Linked DNA regions of Anolis sagrei. The protein of the gene in region 2 purifies or fractionates together with the protein of the main gene of each other region. This does not show direct contact. Links are inferred from orthologs where the notes say so. Each region holds a gene or a part of one and is shown on either strand. Other genes may lie near its edges. The genes, in order: RABEPK and TESK1.

Evidence for each region.
Region 1: the proteins of TESK1 (region 2) and RABEPK purify together in Homo sapiens (affinity purification with mass spectrometry; 3 studies listed by BioGRID and IntAct, with this or other methods). This does not show direct contact. The link is inferred for Anolis sagrei from reciprocal best matches to the Homo sapiens genes TESK1 and RABEPK.

The regions. Positions count from the first base shown.
Region 1 is NC_090031.1:6,409,871-6,417,024, forward strand, and holds the start of RABEPK (rab9 effector protein with kelch motifs), read left to right. Parts: upstream 1-3,979; 5' UTR 3,980-4,036; coding exon 4,037-4,299; intron 4,300-4,714; coding exon 4,715-4,863; intron 4,864-5,093; coding exon 5,094-5,246; intron 5,247-6,709; coding exon 6,710-6,871; intron 6,872-7,154. Other genes in the region: PPP6C (serine/threonine-protein phosphatase 6 catalytic subunit), read right to left, coding at 195-274, 404-545, 815-880, 2,594-2,689, 3,273-3,347. UniProt on the Homo sapiens protein: Rab9 effector required for endosome to trans-Golgi network (TGN) transport.
Region 2 is NC_090022.1:303,263,926-303,271,425, forward strand, and holds the start of TESK1 (dual specificity testis-specific protein kinase 1), read right to left. Parts: upstream 3,121-7,500; 5' UTR 3,017-3,120; coding exon 2,741-3,016; intron 1-2,740. UniProt on the Homo sapiens protein: Dual specificity protein kinase activity catalyzing autophosphorylation and phosphorylation of exogenous substrates on both serine/threonine and tyrosine residues.

The DNA.
Region 1 (7,154 bases), on a different chromosome or scaffold from region 2:
AAAACCACAGCGAACCCTGAGTCCCTCCTCGGGGGTTGAGAAGGGTGGGATAGAAATATTGGAAATAAATAAATGAACCCCTTCTGAACTGATCTTGCAATATATCCATGACATCTTTGCCTTAAGAGCTGCAATAAGTTAGAAAGCACTTGAGAGCAGCATATACCAAAATAATTTAAAAAAAAAAAACTTACTGCTGCTACTGTGAGCATGTCAAACACTTTGGTGCAATACCGCCAAGCGTTAGCGTTGCCATATTTGGTTTGGCACTCATCTAATGCAGAGAGAAGGAAAAATTAAAATGGTTTGTCATAATTTCAAAGTCAGTTACAGAAAGCATGTAGCTCTTCTACACTGAAATAAAGTCAATTCATGTCAATGTTTATGTTGATTGCAAACTTACCATAAAATCCATACACTTGTGTTATCTGCCTACTTTCGTGATTTCCCCGAAGGAGTGTGATGCGATCGGGCCATTTCGCTTTCAGGGCCAGAAGGTAAGTAAACGTCTCAAGGCTGTAATAGCCCCTGTCTACAAAATCTCCCTGCAATTAAAACAACAGTTTAGTGCACACCGTCCAGTAACTATAACATAGAAAGCGAAATGTAAATTTAAAAAATGATTATTGACAAGGATCTAATTGTTTATTTCCTTCCCCACTAGCCCTCATTAGGCTACAAACAAACAAACAACATCATAAAGAGGCGAGACACGCTGAGTAGCAAAACAAAAGAAACAGCTACCTTGAAGATTAAGTTGCAATGTTATGACATTAGTAAATGTATACATTTTCAGATTTCTATTTATACACACCATAAATATGTAGTTTGTGTCGGGAACTTGGCCTCCAGTTCTGAACAATTCACATAAATCATAAAACTGAAAGGCAAAAAAAGAAGACAATGTTAAAGATTATATCAAAGCAGAGGGTGCTGGTTGGTATTTATGAATTTTAATAGTGTTTATTGCTGTATTGTTTTGAATTATTAATTGTTATTACTCCTATATTTAATTATATTGTAATGTTTATTAATGGGGCCAAAGTGGCACAATGGGTTAAACCCTTGTGCTGCTAAATTGTTGACCTAAAGGTTGGCAGTTCGAATTCATGGAATGGGGTGAGCTCTTGCTGTTAGCCCTAGCTCCTGTCAACTTAGCACTTCAAAAACATACAAAGGTAAATAGATAAATAAGTACTGCTACAGCAGGAAAAGACAGCAGTCTTGCAGGCCACATGACCAGGAGGTGACAACACAGGCTCCTCGGCTTGCAAATAGAGAACACCTCCCCCAGAGGCAGAACAGAGCACTACACCTCCAGAAACCGGAAATGAGAAAGGACAATCCTTTGCCATGTCTGTGTTTGTGTCTCTTATTGTATGGGACTGTAAGGCATTGAACGTTGGCCAATGTCTGCTGTAAATGCTGTTATCTGCTCTTGAGTCCCCTCGGGGAGATGGGTGGAATATAAATAAAGTGCATCATCATCATTTTTAATAATGTAATGCAATATAATACTACTAATAATATTATTATAATAATTATATATTTTCTATTACATGTAATATTATTTATTATTTATTTATTTATTTATTTATTTGCTTTATTTCTATACCGCATTTTTCAGCCCAAACAGGCGACTCAATGGTACAATTACATGGTACAATTATCAAACAGTGTCAGTGCAATTAAAACATAACAATGCAAAAAGGAGGATCAACAGCATCAATCCACAACAATTAACAATCAAACAAGACAAATCAACAAAACAAACATAACATAACGCCTCAGTTGAATCAGATCCGTTCTCATAATCATTCTGCCATTCCTATGTTCCATTTACCGTCTTCCTTTGATTGGTTGCACTGCTTAACCAAACGCTTGTTCATAAAGCCAGGTCTTAACCATTCTCCGAAACGTCAGCAACGAAGGTGCCTGTCTGATGTTTGCCGGTAAGGCATTCCATAGCCGAGGGGCCACCACTGAGAAGGCCCTGTCTCTCGTCCCCGCCAAGCGAGCCTGTGACGTAGGCGGGATCGAGAGCAGGGCCTCCCCAGACGATCTTAATGTTCTATTATTAATAATATTACAATATAATGGTATAGTACAATATAGTAATAAATAATACTGATATTGTACTATGCTAATAACATAATATATTGTATGTATATATATCTTGTAAGCTGCTCTGAGTCCCCTTCGGGGTTAGAAGGACGGCATATAAATGTCATTAATAATAATAATAATAATAATAATAATAATAATAATATACATTAGTACACAATAAACAAGATCACCATGCTGGCTTTTGTACTGGAACACATGTCAGACACTTCTCAAGCGTCTAAGACTGTGTGATGTATGAACAAATAATGAGTGCATATCTGAGTAGGGCAGCCGTTTGCAGCTGACAGATGGTAATTTTGCCAGCGCTGATTGTTTTTAAATGCAGGTCAAGGTCTTTAGGCACTGCACCCAGTGTACCGATCACGTTAAGCTATAGCAACTATTGCTTAGAAAGCCAAAACCACTATATGGAAGAGGAAAATACCATCAAATTCTCCACAGTATGTAAATGCGTGAGAAATCTCACCTGTCCATGGATGTCGCCACAGACTGTAACTGGGGTAGAAACCGGCTGCACATTTGATTCTTCTAAGAGCAGGTCACACACGTAGTCACATAAGCGCTAGAACGAGGACATCGTTTTAATACAAGAGCTCTCCATATTGTGAACAACATAATTGCAAATAAAAACACAGGAACATTTCTGGCTAGTAATGGCTGAAATGACCACATTGTGCCAACAGAAGTAAAACCATACCATCTCCAAGCCCAGTTCGAAGTGCTTCTTGTAACCTTTAAAGCTTGAAACACCTCAACTGAAAGATCATTTCTTGCTCCCTCTTCCTTGTAACATCCTTTCACATATTTGTACATGGCCCTCGTGTCCAAAACCCTCGTGTCTCCTCTCAACCCCTCAATAGAATAGATCAAAGGATGGATAGAATAGAACAGATCAATGGAATGAATTTAGTGTTTATATACAATACACACAGTGCATGACTTCTCTATATCTCCATCTAAACCTGGCCTGGGTCAACTTAAGCCTTCCCTCCAGGTGTTTTGGACTTCAATTCCCACAATTCCTAACAGCCTACCGGCTGTTAGGAATTGTGGGAGTTGGAGTCCAAAACACCTGGAGGGAAGGCCCAACTTGGCCCAGGCCTAGTGTAATAGGCTTCGGGCCCTCTTCCTCCTCCAGGCCTCACCTTGAGGTCGTTCTCGGGCAGGTATTTGCAGAGCCGTGCGATCTCCACATACTTATCCAAGTCCAGCGGCGCCATTTTGGAAAGCGGAAGGAAGAAGGGGCATAGGAGAGTCAAGGGACAGGAAGCGAGAGCGGCCACTTCCGGATTGTGTCAGAGGACATCCGCTCCTGAGCGTCCCGGCCTCTGCGCAGGCGCAGAAGGCGCCCTCTCCTCCTCTGTCGGCTCTACGCATGCGCCGAAGAAGCCCTCTTTCCTCTCAAAGGCCCTTTCCTTCTCCCGCTTTGTGCCCAGACTCTGCGCAGGCGCAGAAGACTCCCTCTCCGCCTCCGAAGGGCCTCCCCTTCGCCGCTTCTGCGCAGGCGCAGAAGACACCCTCTCCGTTTGCGAAGGGGCTTCCCTTTGTATTCCGGCCCTTTACGCATGCGCAGAGGAAGCCCTCTTTCCTCTCAGAGGGTTTGTGCCCAGCTTCTGCGCAGGCGCGGAAGACACCTCCGTTTTCCGATGGCGCTTCCCTTTGTATTTCCTCCCTGTACGCATGCGCAGAGGAAGCCCTCTTTCCACTCAGAGGGTTTGTGCCCAGCTTCTGCGCAGGCTCAGCAGACACCCTCTCCACCTCCGAAGGGCCTCCCCTTCGCAGGCGCAGAAGACACCCTTCCGCTTCCCTTTGTCGCTCTATATTTCCGCCCTTTGCGCATGCGCAGAAAACCCTCTTTCTTCTCAATGGTCCTTTTCGTTCGCGCTTCTTTTCGTTCGCGTCTCTACGCATGCGCGGAAACATTCCTTCCGTCTCCGAAGGCCTTTTCGGTCTCTCTGTGTTCGGCTTCCGCGCATGCGCAGAGGCGTTTGGATTGGTTCTTGGCGAAAAAGGTGGCAGGTCGACTGCAGCAGCCTGGAGGCGGGGCTTAAAATCTCCTAGCAACGACGAAGAAGGCGTGGCGACAGCACCAAACCCCGCCCCCTTTGCATCAATGTCGCCAGCGGCGCTGGAAGAGCTGAAGCCTGGGAGCAAACCGGAAGTAGCCAGCTGGTGCGCTGTAAACACGGGTCTGCGGTGCACGTGTGAATGCAGATGGGGGAATGAATGCGTGTTTTAATGAAATATGTTTTAATGTTTTAATGAAATATGTTTGTCTCACCAAAGTCCTAGAATATAGGGCCAGGGTGGTTCAAGTGGTATGAAACTGGGTTAACTCAGCAGTGTAGATAAGGAATGGGTCAACTTCGGCTCTCCCTCCAGGTGTTTTGGACTTCAATACCCACAATTCGCTGTTAGGAATTGTGGGAATTGAAGTCCAGAACACCTGGAGGGAGGGCCGAAGTTGACCCATTCCAGATATAGATATTCCGAGCTGTGGGTGAAATGTCAGGAGAGAATGCTTCTGGAACATGGCCTGCAAAACTCACAGCAACCCATTAAATTATTATTATTATTCTATTTGTAGGTACTCCCTGGTTCCCTTTGGGGAGGGCCCTTGCCCCCGCGTCGGCCATGTCTCGTTTCACCTCCCGAACAACAAGAAAGGCACCGTCCTCATCGTCGGAGGGGCCGACCCGAACGGCAGCTTCTCCGACTCCTATACCCTTGACCTCGGTGAGGGATCAAACCGCATTAACTCCCCGGTGTAGACGTTTTTTGTTTATGTATTTGGTTTCATTCTGCTGTAATATGTTGTCCGGGCTTGGCCCCATGTAAGCTGTTTCGAGTCCCCACTGGGGAGATGGTGGCGGGGTACAAATAAAGATTATTATTATTATTATTATTATTATTATTATTATTACTTGGACCAAGTGGTGCTTTCTCACCTGTTTGTCTCCCAACAGATGCGCACAAGTGGAGCGCCCCAAAGTGGTCAGGCCTTTTGCCCCGATACGAACAGGCTGCCTTCATTCCCGAAAGCCAGCCCACAAAGCTCTGGGTCTTCGGAGGAGCCAGCGAAGGTGGCAACCGGAATTGCCTGCAGGTCTTGGACCTTCGTAAGTATTTCTTGTTTTCTACGAAGGTTGAATGAAAAGTAATGTCTCCACCTTCGTAACTTCTCAATAGATGGCAGTACTGGTATGTGGCAGGTACTGGCTTGTCCAGTAGACTCTCCTCTACAGTTCCATTTTGGCGGGAAGCCTTAGCATTGAACTGTTGTGTTGTTAAAGTGCAAAGTATGGAACCCTGCGCAGATGGTCAGTCAATACGACTTAAGCAATGTGCAGTCATTGAATTCTTGACAGCAGAAGATGTCACCTCAACACCAGGGGCTCCATTTCTAATAAATAATAATAATAATTTATTTCTTACCTCCCTCTCCTTTAAACTTACTCACCCAACAACGCACAGTACTCACATCAACACAACCACCACAAGCAGCTTGCATTCTCTGATGAATCTCTTTTGGGGTGACACCTTCTGCTGTCAAGGATTCAATGACTGTGGCTGGCATGACTGCATGAAACACCATTACCTTCCCGCCGCATATTTTCAAACTGCTAGGTCAGCAGGAACTAGGGCTAACAGTGGGAGCTTCCCCAGCTCCCCCAATTCAAACCACCTACCTTTTGGTCAGCAGCTCAGCAGTTTAATCTGCTGTGACACCAGGGGCTCCATTTCTAATAAATAATAATAATTTATTTCTTACCTCCCTCTCCTCAAGGTGGGGCACAACATTGTTGAATGCATCTGTAAAAGCAGTATTTAAAAAAAGCTTGTCTTCTGTGCTATGCTAATAATGTAATATATTGTATATACATATAATATTTATATTATATACAATATAATATAATATTTATATTATGATCTAATTCAATATAATACTAATAATATATTATAATTAAATATTGTATATTACATGTAATATTACTAATAATATTATAATATAAAGATATAGTAAAATATAGTAATAAATAATACTGATATTGTACTAGGCTAATAATATAATATATTGTATGTATATATATCATGTAAGCCACTCTGAGTCCCCTTCGGGGTGAGAAGAGCGGTATTTAAATATCATAAATACATAAATAAATAAAAACTGCTTTGGATCATAACTAAGATCCCCATGGGCCTTTTAAGCATATACCTATGATATTGATATATCCTGAGGCAGTGTGGGATATTTGGGGACCCCTCCACCAGCACCAAGTGCCGCTCTAGGCCAGAGTGAAGAGAGTACAATATCAGTATTATATATTACTATATTGTACTATATCATTATATTTTAATATTATTAGTAATATTACATGTAATATAAACTATATAATTAAAATATATTATTAGTATTATTTTATATTACATTATAATATTATAAATATTATATGTATATACAATATTATATTATATTATATTATATTATATTATATTATATTATATTATAATGTGGAAGGACGGCTGTAGTTCCTTCCAAAATCCACTGACCAAACAATGGTTTGTCTGCTTTCCTCCTTAGAGACTGGCACATGGGAGAAGCCGGAGGTAAGCGGGACTCCTCCATCCATTCGGACCTTTCACACGTCCACAGCGGCCATCGGGGACCGTTTGTATGTCTTTGGAGGCGGCGACAAAGGAGCGGACCCTGTTCAAGACCAGCAGCTTCACATATTTGACTCAGGTTAGCTCTTGAGTTTTGGTTCTTGGGAAGTAAAAGAGGTCCCTAGAGTTGGAAGAGATCTATGAGCTTTTAAGTAGAGACTTGTTTATTTTGTCAAAACACATCCTGTGATTTTCGACTGCTTCAAAGTACAGACTGAATGGCATCTGTCGGGAGGGATCGGATTGTGCCTTCCTGCCTGGCAGAAGGGGGTTGTTGGACTTGCATGCCCTTTGGTGTCCCCTCCAACTCGAAGCTTCAATTGACAACAATCTGATTGGATTTTGGGAGGACTTTTCTCCCA
Region 2 (7,500 bases):
GTTGTTATTGTTGTTACTGTATATATTTATTTATTTATTTTATTTACTATTTTTGTATACCTCTGTATCTCAAGCCCGAGGGCGACTCACAGCGGTTTCCAGACAGCAAACAACAAAGACAATAAAAACAGCAGCAATCAATATACCATAACAGTTAAATTACACATTTCCATTACTAGCTAATAAACCATCATCAATACACAGTTATCACAAATCCCATCCCCGATCGCCTCATCATCCAAGCGTGATCCAAATTCGTCGTCCATTGTTCCGTTCCTATGTTCAAATTACCAGAATTGCACTGAGTTACTCAAACGCCTGCACAAACATCCAGGTCTTCAACTTTCTACGGAATGTCATGAGAGATGGTGCCAGCCTAACATCTACAGGAAGGGTGTTCCACAGCCGAGGAGCCACCACCGAGAAGGCCCTATCTCTTGTCCCCGCCAACCGTGCTTGAGAGGCTGGCAGGATCGAGAGCAGGGCCTCCCCGGAAGATCTCAAACTCCGGGTGGGTTGTGTGCGTGTGTCAGGAGCGACTTGTGAAACTGCAAGTCACTTCTGGTGTGAGATAATTGGCTGTCTGCAAGGACGTTGCCCAGGCGACATTGCCCGGATGTTCTGATGTTTTCCCATCCTTGCAGGAGGTACAAAGTGGCTCACAACATTACAAAACAGAGTGTGGAGGGAGAGGGGGCAAAGGTCAGAGAGGCCGAAGTGAGTCCCCTGCTCCTCCCATTGTCCCTGCCTGCCTACTGCAGTGGCCCTGTGGGCAGGGAAAAGGCCAGCTAGCCTGTGGCTGGAAAGGGCACGGGGTCACGGGGAATTAGCTTAAGCCAGGCATTAAGGGCCGCATTAAGGGCCGTCTGGCTGGCCGCCGTCTGCACTGATTGTGCGGCTGCAGGAAGGAGGCCGGAAGCCCCTCTGATCCGCCAGCTGCGCCCCTTCCTAGATTTGGAGGACCCAAAGACAGCAGTGGTCATCTCAAGGCCGGACTCCTGCAATGCAAAGCTGTTCAGAAACTCCAGTTGGTTCAAAACAGAGCAGCCAGATTGGTTATGGGAACGTCCAGGAGTGAGCACACGTCAATTATGATAGTAAATCTCACTCCACCGACTGCCCATGAGTTTCTAGGCAAAGTACAAAGTGTTCTCTTGGACTTTTAAACCCCTGCAGAGTTTGGACTCCGTTTCCCTACTACAGGGTGATGGCCTTTCCCTGCACAATCTGTCCGAACATATCTCCCTCTTTGAATCACTGCAGAGTTTAAGATCACCTGGGGAGGCCCTGCTCTCAGTCTCGCCTTCTTTGCAGGCACAATTGGCGGAGACGATAGCCTTCCTTCCTTTTCAGTGGTGGCCCCTCGGCTATAGAACTCCCTCCCCAGGGATATTAGAACAGCCCCCTCCCTCCTGACCTTCCACAAGAGTGAAAACATGGCTTTGTGACCAAGCCTTTAGAGAACTAGTGCTATAGACTTGGAACCATGTGCAATGACCATTGGAATGGCCCAAATGACACTCGTGGATGACGTGTTTAACTCTGAATATATTGTTTTTAATGTACTTTTAAATTCTATTTTAATATTTATTTAAGTGTACATTGTGTTTTAAGGCATTGAATTGCTCCCTGGATGTAAAGCCACCTTGAGTCCACTCTGGGCTGAGAAAGAAAGGCAAGGGAGATATGTAAATAAATGTCATAAATCTATATAAATAAAAATGTAATGTTCCTTTGTGGGATTAACAGAACTCAAAAATCACTGGACAAATTGACACCAAATTTGGACACAAGACACCTCTCAGGTCAATGAGTGAACATCACTCATAAAAACACTGGAAAAAACAGCAGAAGGGATTTAAAAAGCCAAAAAATAAAAATACATTACAACGTATGTGCAAAACCACATATATACAGATATGCGCAAATATATACACACACAAAACACATATTACACAGACTGGGCCACAGCAACTCATGGCTGTGGCCCAGTCTGTGTAATAAATGTTAGGATGGATGGGGCGGTTCTGGCCTCCAAAGGGAGAGAGCTCCAGAGTCGAGGGGCCACCACCGAGAAGGCCCTGTCCCTCATCCCCACCAGGCGCGCTTGCGAGGCCGGTGGGACCGAGAGCAGGGCCTCTCCAGATGATCTTAGTAATCTTGATGGTCCGTAGGGGAGAATACGTTCGGAGAGGTAAACAGGGCCGGAGTCGTTTAGGGCTTAATTATCATTATCTTTCAGAGGGAGGGCCTGGACCAACTTGGGCCTTCCCTACTTCCCTCAGAGTGTTTTGGACTCCAACTCCCAGCATGCCTCGCAGCCTCAGGCCCTTTCCTGAGGGAGGGAGGGTCTCCTAAGTCATTGGGGTGCTTTGCAGGGTCCTAATTAATGGGCTGAATTGGAGGAGGAGGTGATGATAACAACAACAACAACAACAACAACAACAACAACAACGGAGAAGGGGGACCTTAGCCCTTGACCCCTGACCCTCCAGAGCCACGCCCAGGCTTTAAATACACAGGTAAATAAACCAGGCCTGGGCCAACTTGGGCCTTCCCTCCCTATTTCCCTCAGAGTGTTTTGGACTCCAACTCCCAGCATGCCTCGCGGACTCAGGCCCTTTCCTAAGGAAAGGGCCTGAGTCCGCGAGGCATGCTGGGAGTTGGAGTCCAAAACACTCTGAGGGAAATAGGGAAGGCCTGAGGCCTATTTCGGGCCACCACGCCCCCCTTCCCTCACCTTGAAGACCTCTGAGAAGAACCCGGCGCCGATCTTTTCGCAGAAGAAGTCGTCCAGGCGGGCCAGCGTGGAGACGGCGCTGCGCAGGGCCCGGTACGACGAGGGGCGAGGCCGCGACGAGGAGGACGAAGGAGGAGGGGGCTCCGAGGGGCCTTCCTCACGAGGAGGGGGAGCCGGAGCCGGTCTCCTCGGCGGCGGCGCCACCCCCCGAGGTCCCTCCATGGCCCTAAGAGGGGGAGAACGAGGCGGAGACCCTCCCGGCGCGCCCCCGCGCATCCCCGCTGAGGGAAACAGCCAGGCAGGCAGGCCCTCCTCCTTCGCCTCCTCTCTCCCGCCTTCCTTCTGAGGCCTCACAAGAAGGGGCGGGGCTTCTACGTCACTAGGGGGTGGGGACAGCTCTCCCTCCGCCTTCTCAGATCCTAGGGGGCGGGGCATGAAGGAGATTGGCCTCTACGTCATGAAGGGGGCGGGGATATCGCCTTCACCTATCTCTCCCTCCGCCTCAGAAAAAGGGGCGGGGCCAAATAGGGGGCGGAGCGTCTACGTCACGAGGGGGCGGGGACATCTCTCCCTCCTCCTCAGCTCCTGAGGGGCGGGGCGTGAAGGAGATTGGCCTCCACGTCATGAAGGGGGCGGGGATATCGCCTTAATCTATCTCTCCCTCCGCCTCAACAGAAGGAGCGGGGATACACAGGGGGCGGAGCTTCTACGTCACGAGGGGGCGGTGCCATCGCCTTAACCCCAGCTGCGCCTGGCCTTCTATCTCTCTCTCCTCCTTCTCAGCTCCTAAGGGGCGGGGCGTCAAGGAGATTGGCCTCTACGTCATGAAGGGGGCGGGGACACCGCCTTAACCTATCTCTCCCTCCGCCTCAGAAGAAGGGGCGGGGCCACACAGGGGGAGGAGCTTCTACGTCACTAGGGGGCGGGGCCATCGTCTTAACCCCAGCTGCGCCTGGACTTCCATCTCTCCCTCCTCCTTCTCAGCTTCTAAGGGGCGGGGCGTGAAGGGGGCGGGGCCTCTACGTCATGAAGGGGCGGTGCCATCGCCTTAACCCCAGCTGCGCCTGGGCTTCTATCTCTCTCTCCTCCTTCTCAGCTCCTAAGGGGCGAGGCGTGAAGGGGGCGGGGGCTTCTACGTCACGAAGGGGGCGGGACCAAAGCCTTAACCTATCTCTCTCTCTCTTTCTCCTCTCTGCGCAGCTGCTGAGAGTAAAGGGCGGGGCGTGAAGGGGGCGGGGACTTCAACGTCATGAAGGGGGCGGGGACATCGCCTTAAGCCGTCTCTCCCTCCTCCCTGCGCAACTTGGGCCTTTCTTCCCTCAGAGTGTTTTGGACTCCAACTCCCAGCATACCTCGCGGCCTCAGGCCCTTTCCTTTTCCCCCTCAGCCCCTCAAGCAGGGCGGGGCGTGAAGGAGATGGGGCTTCTACGTCACGAAGGGGGCGGGGCCAAAGCCTTTAATCCTCCGCCAGGCTCTACCGAGGCACCCCGACTAGGGGGCGGGGCGTGAAGGAGGCGGGGCCACACGTCATGAAGGGGGCGGGGACATCGCCTCAACCTATCTCTCTCTCTTCTCTCTGCGCAACTCCTGAGAGGAAGGGGCGGGGAATGAAGGAGGCGGGGACTTCTACGTCACGAAAGGGGCGGGGACAGCGCTTTACCGCCTGCGCCAGACATGCCTCCAGAAGCGGGGGCGGTGAAGGAGGCGGGGCAACGGTGAGGGCGGGGCTATTACGTCACGAGGGGGCGGGGCCAGAGCATTTACCTCGGCGCCTGTCCTCCCATTTCTCCTCCTGAGATTAAGGGGCGGGGCGTGAAGGAGGCGGGGCCTCTGCGTCACGAGGGGGCGGGGCCAGAGCCTTTCCCCCTGCGGCAGGGTGCTCCCGAGCACAGCGACGAAGGGGGCGGGGCGAGGCGAAGAAAGGGGCGGGGCAATCACCTTAACCCCTCCTCCCGGCGCTTGGCCTTCCATCTTTTCTAAGAGACTAAGGGGCGGGGCGGTGAAGGAGGCGGGGCTCTACGTCACGAAGGGGGCGGGGCCGGCACTTTAACGCCTGCGCCAGATAGGCCAGCAGAAGCAGGAGGCGGTGGAGAGGGCGGGGCCTAGTGCAGCGCCCCAGACTAAGGGGCGGGGCGAATCGGGGGGCGTGGCCTTGATGTCACGGGGGGGCGTGGCCAAGGCCTGAACTCCTGCGCCAGGCCCAGCCAAGCTCCTCAGACTGAGGGGCGGGGCCAGCTTGTTAACCCCTGCCAGGGAGGGGGCGTGGCCTCGGCCTCCTTCCGGCCTTCCTTCATTCCCTCCTTCCGGTCCGTTCTCTTCAGCGTCGTGTGGAGGGATGATCCCGGTAGATGTAGTTCCGCCAAGGCGGCCCCTTTCCCAGTGACTCGGGGGAGCTGCTGCTTCTCCTCCTCAAGGAGGGAAGTAGCCTGGGTTATCAACTAAGTGTTGTTGTTATTATTATTATTATCATAATTAGCGATACTTTGTATCCCAGCCAGACTGCCCCCCCCTTTTGGACCCTCAGAGCAACACCCACAAGGCAAGGGAACTCCAGACAGGAAACAATCAGGGCCAGCTAACCACTCCCAGCAAAGGATTCCCCCAGGCAGGAAGCAGCCAGGCCTCGCAACTGCAAGGACATTCCATGCTGATCATTTATGTCTTCATCATGTTATTTTGCATTTGTTTATCTCCTATTCTGTTGTCTCATGTATTTTATTTTGTTGTATTGTAATTCCAGGCTTGGCCTCATGTTAGCCATCCCGAGTCCCCTTTGAGAACGTGGGGGCAGGGGGGTGTACAAATAAAGTTTATTAATCACCTCTCAACAAAAGTTTGCTCCAGGCACTGCCAGGCCTTCAAATGCTAATCAAGGTGGTCAGCTGAAACATTCACACCTAGCTCCAGCAGACAAGAGTCCTTTGTCCCACCCTGGTCATCATTCCATAGATATATAAACCCATTTTCCTAGTTCCAACAGACCTCACTCCCTCTGAGGATGCTTGCCATAGATGCAGGCGAAACGTCAGGAGGAAATGCCTCTAGACCATGGCCATATAGCCTGAAAAAACCTACAAGGACATCTAATCACCTCTCAACAAAAGATTGCTCCGGGCACTGTCAGGCCATTATATGCTAATCAAGGTGATCAGTTGAAACACTCCCACCTAGCTCCAGCAGACAAGAGTCCTTTGTCCCACCCTGGTCATCATTCCACAGATATATAAACCCATTGTCCTAGTTCCAACAGACCTCACTCTCGCTGAGGATGCTTATTTATTTTTTTTATTTATTTTACTATACTTGTATACCGCAGTTTCTCAGCCTAACTGGCAACTCAACGCGGTTTAGATGCAGGCGAAAGGTCAGGAGAGAATGCCTCTAGATGCAGGCGAAACGTCAGGAGAGAATGCCTCTAGACCATGGCCATATAGCCTGAAAAAACCTACAACAAGGACATTATCACCTCTCAACAAAAGATTGCTCCAGGCACAGTCAGGCCATCGTATGCTAATCAAGGTGGTCAGTTGAAGCATAGGTTCTTTTGATTGCAATTTCCAGTGTGAGAAGGTAGATCAGATTACAGAAGAACATTTAGACCAAGAATGACATTGGGCAGACAGACATACAGACTCTGTGCAACTACATTGGATTCACAATTACATTGGTTAACAAACAAACAAAGGGGAATTACGTTTTCACATAACATTCACACACATGTACACGCATTCATCCAATTCTGGGCACCACAATTCAAGAGAGATATCGAGAAGCTGGAATGTGTCCAGAGGAGAGCGACTAAAATGATCAAGGGTCTGGAGAACAAGCCCTATGAGGAGCGGCTTAGGGAACTGGGCATGTTTAGCCTGAAGAAGAGAAGGCTGAGAGGAGATATGATGAGTGCCATGTATAATAAATATGTGAGAGGAAGCCACAGGGAGGAGGGAGCAGATCAAGGGTCTGGAGAACAAGCCCCATGAGGAGCGGCTTAAGGAGCTGGGCATGTTTAGCCTGAAGAAGAGAAGGCTGAGAGGAGATATGATAGCCACGTATACATATGTGAGAGGAAGCCACAGGGAGGAGGGAGCAAGCTTGTTTTCTGCTTCCTTGGAGACTAGGACGCGGAACAATGGCTTCAAACTACAAGAGAGGAGATTCCATCTGAACATGAGGAATACTTCCTGACTGTGAGAGCCGTTCAGCAGTGGAACTCTCTGCCCCGGAGGGAGTGTGGTGGAGGCTCCTTCTTTGGAAGCTTTTAAGCAGAGGCTGGATGGCCATCTGTCAGGGGTGATTTGAATGCAATATTCCTGTTTCTTGGCAGAATGGGGTGGGACTGGATGATGGCCCAGGAGGTCTCTTCCAACTCTTTGATTCTAGGATTCTATGATTCTACATGCATCCAAATATGACCCTATCCTCTTCTCCCTCCTTGGAGAAGCACCTGTTAGGCCAGACCTTGCTTCCCTGCAGTCTTTCCAATACATAGTTCCAAAACTCCCATAACGCCAAAACTTCAAAATGGCGAGATGACAAAACTTCTTTCCCTAAGAACAATGCCAAGTGCTAGATCTTTGTTTTCCCTCCAGCAGAAGCTGACTCCCTGCACAAAATCCAAGACTCCGAAAGCGCACTTCTTCGCTCTTCCCTTGAGAAAGAAGCCCCAAAGGGACCAGGCTGCTCCCGTGCAGATCTGCCACTCTCCGAATACACCCTCTCTCTCCTTCCAGAACAGGGCGGGTGAACAGCGTCTCTGTCTG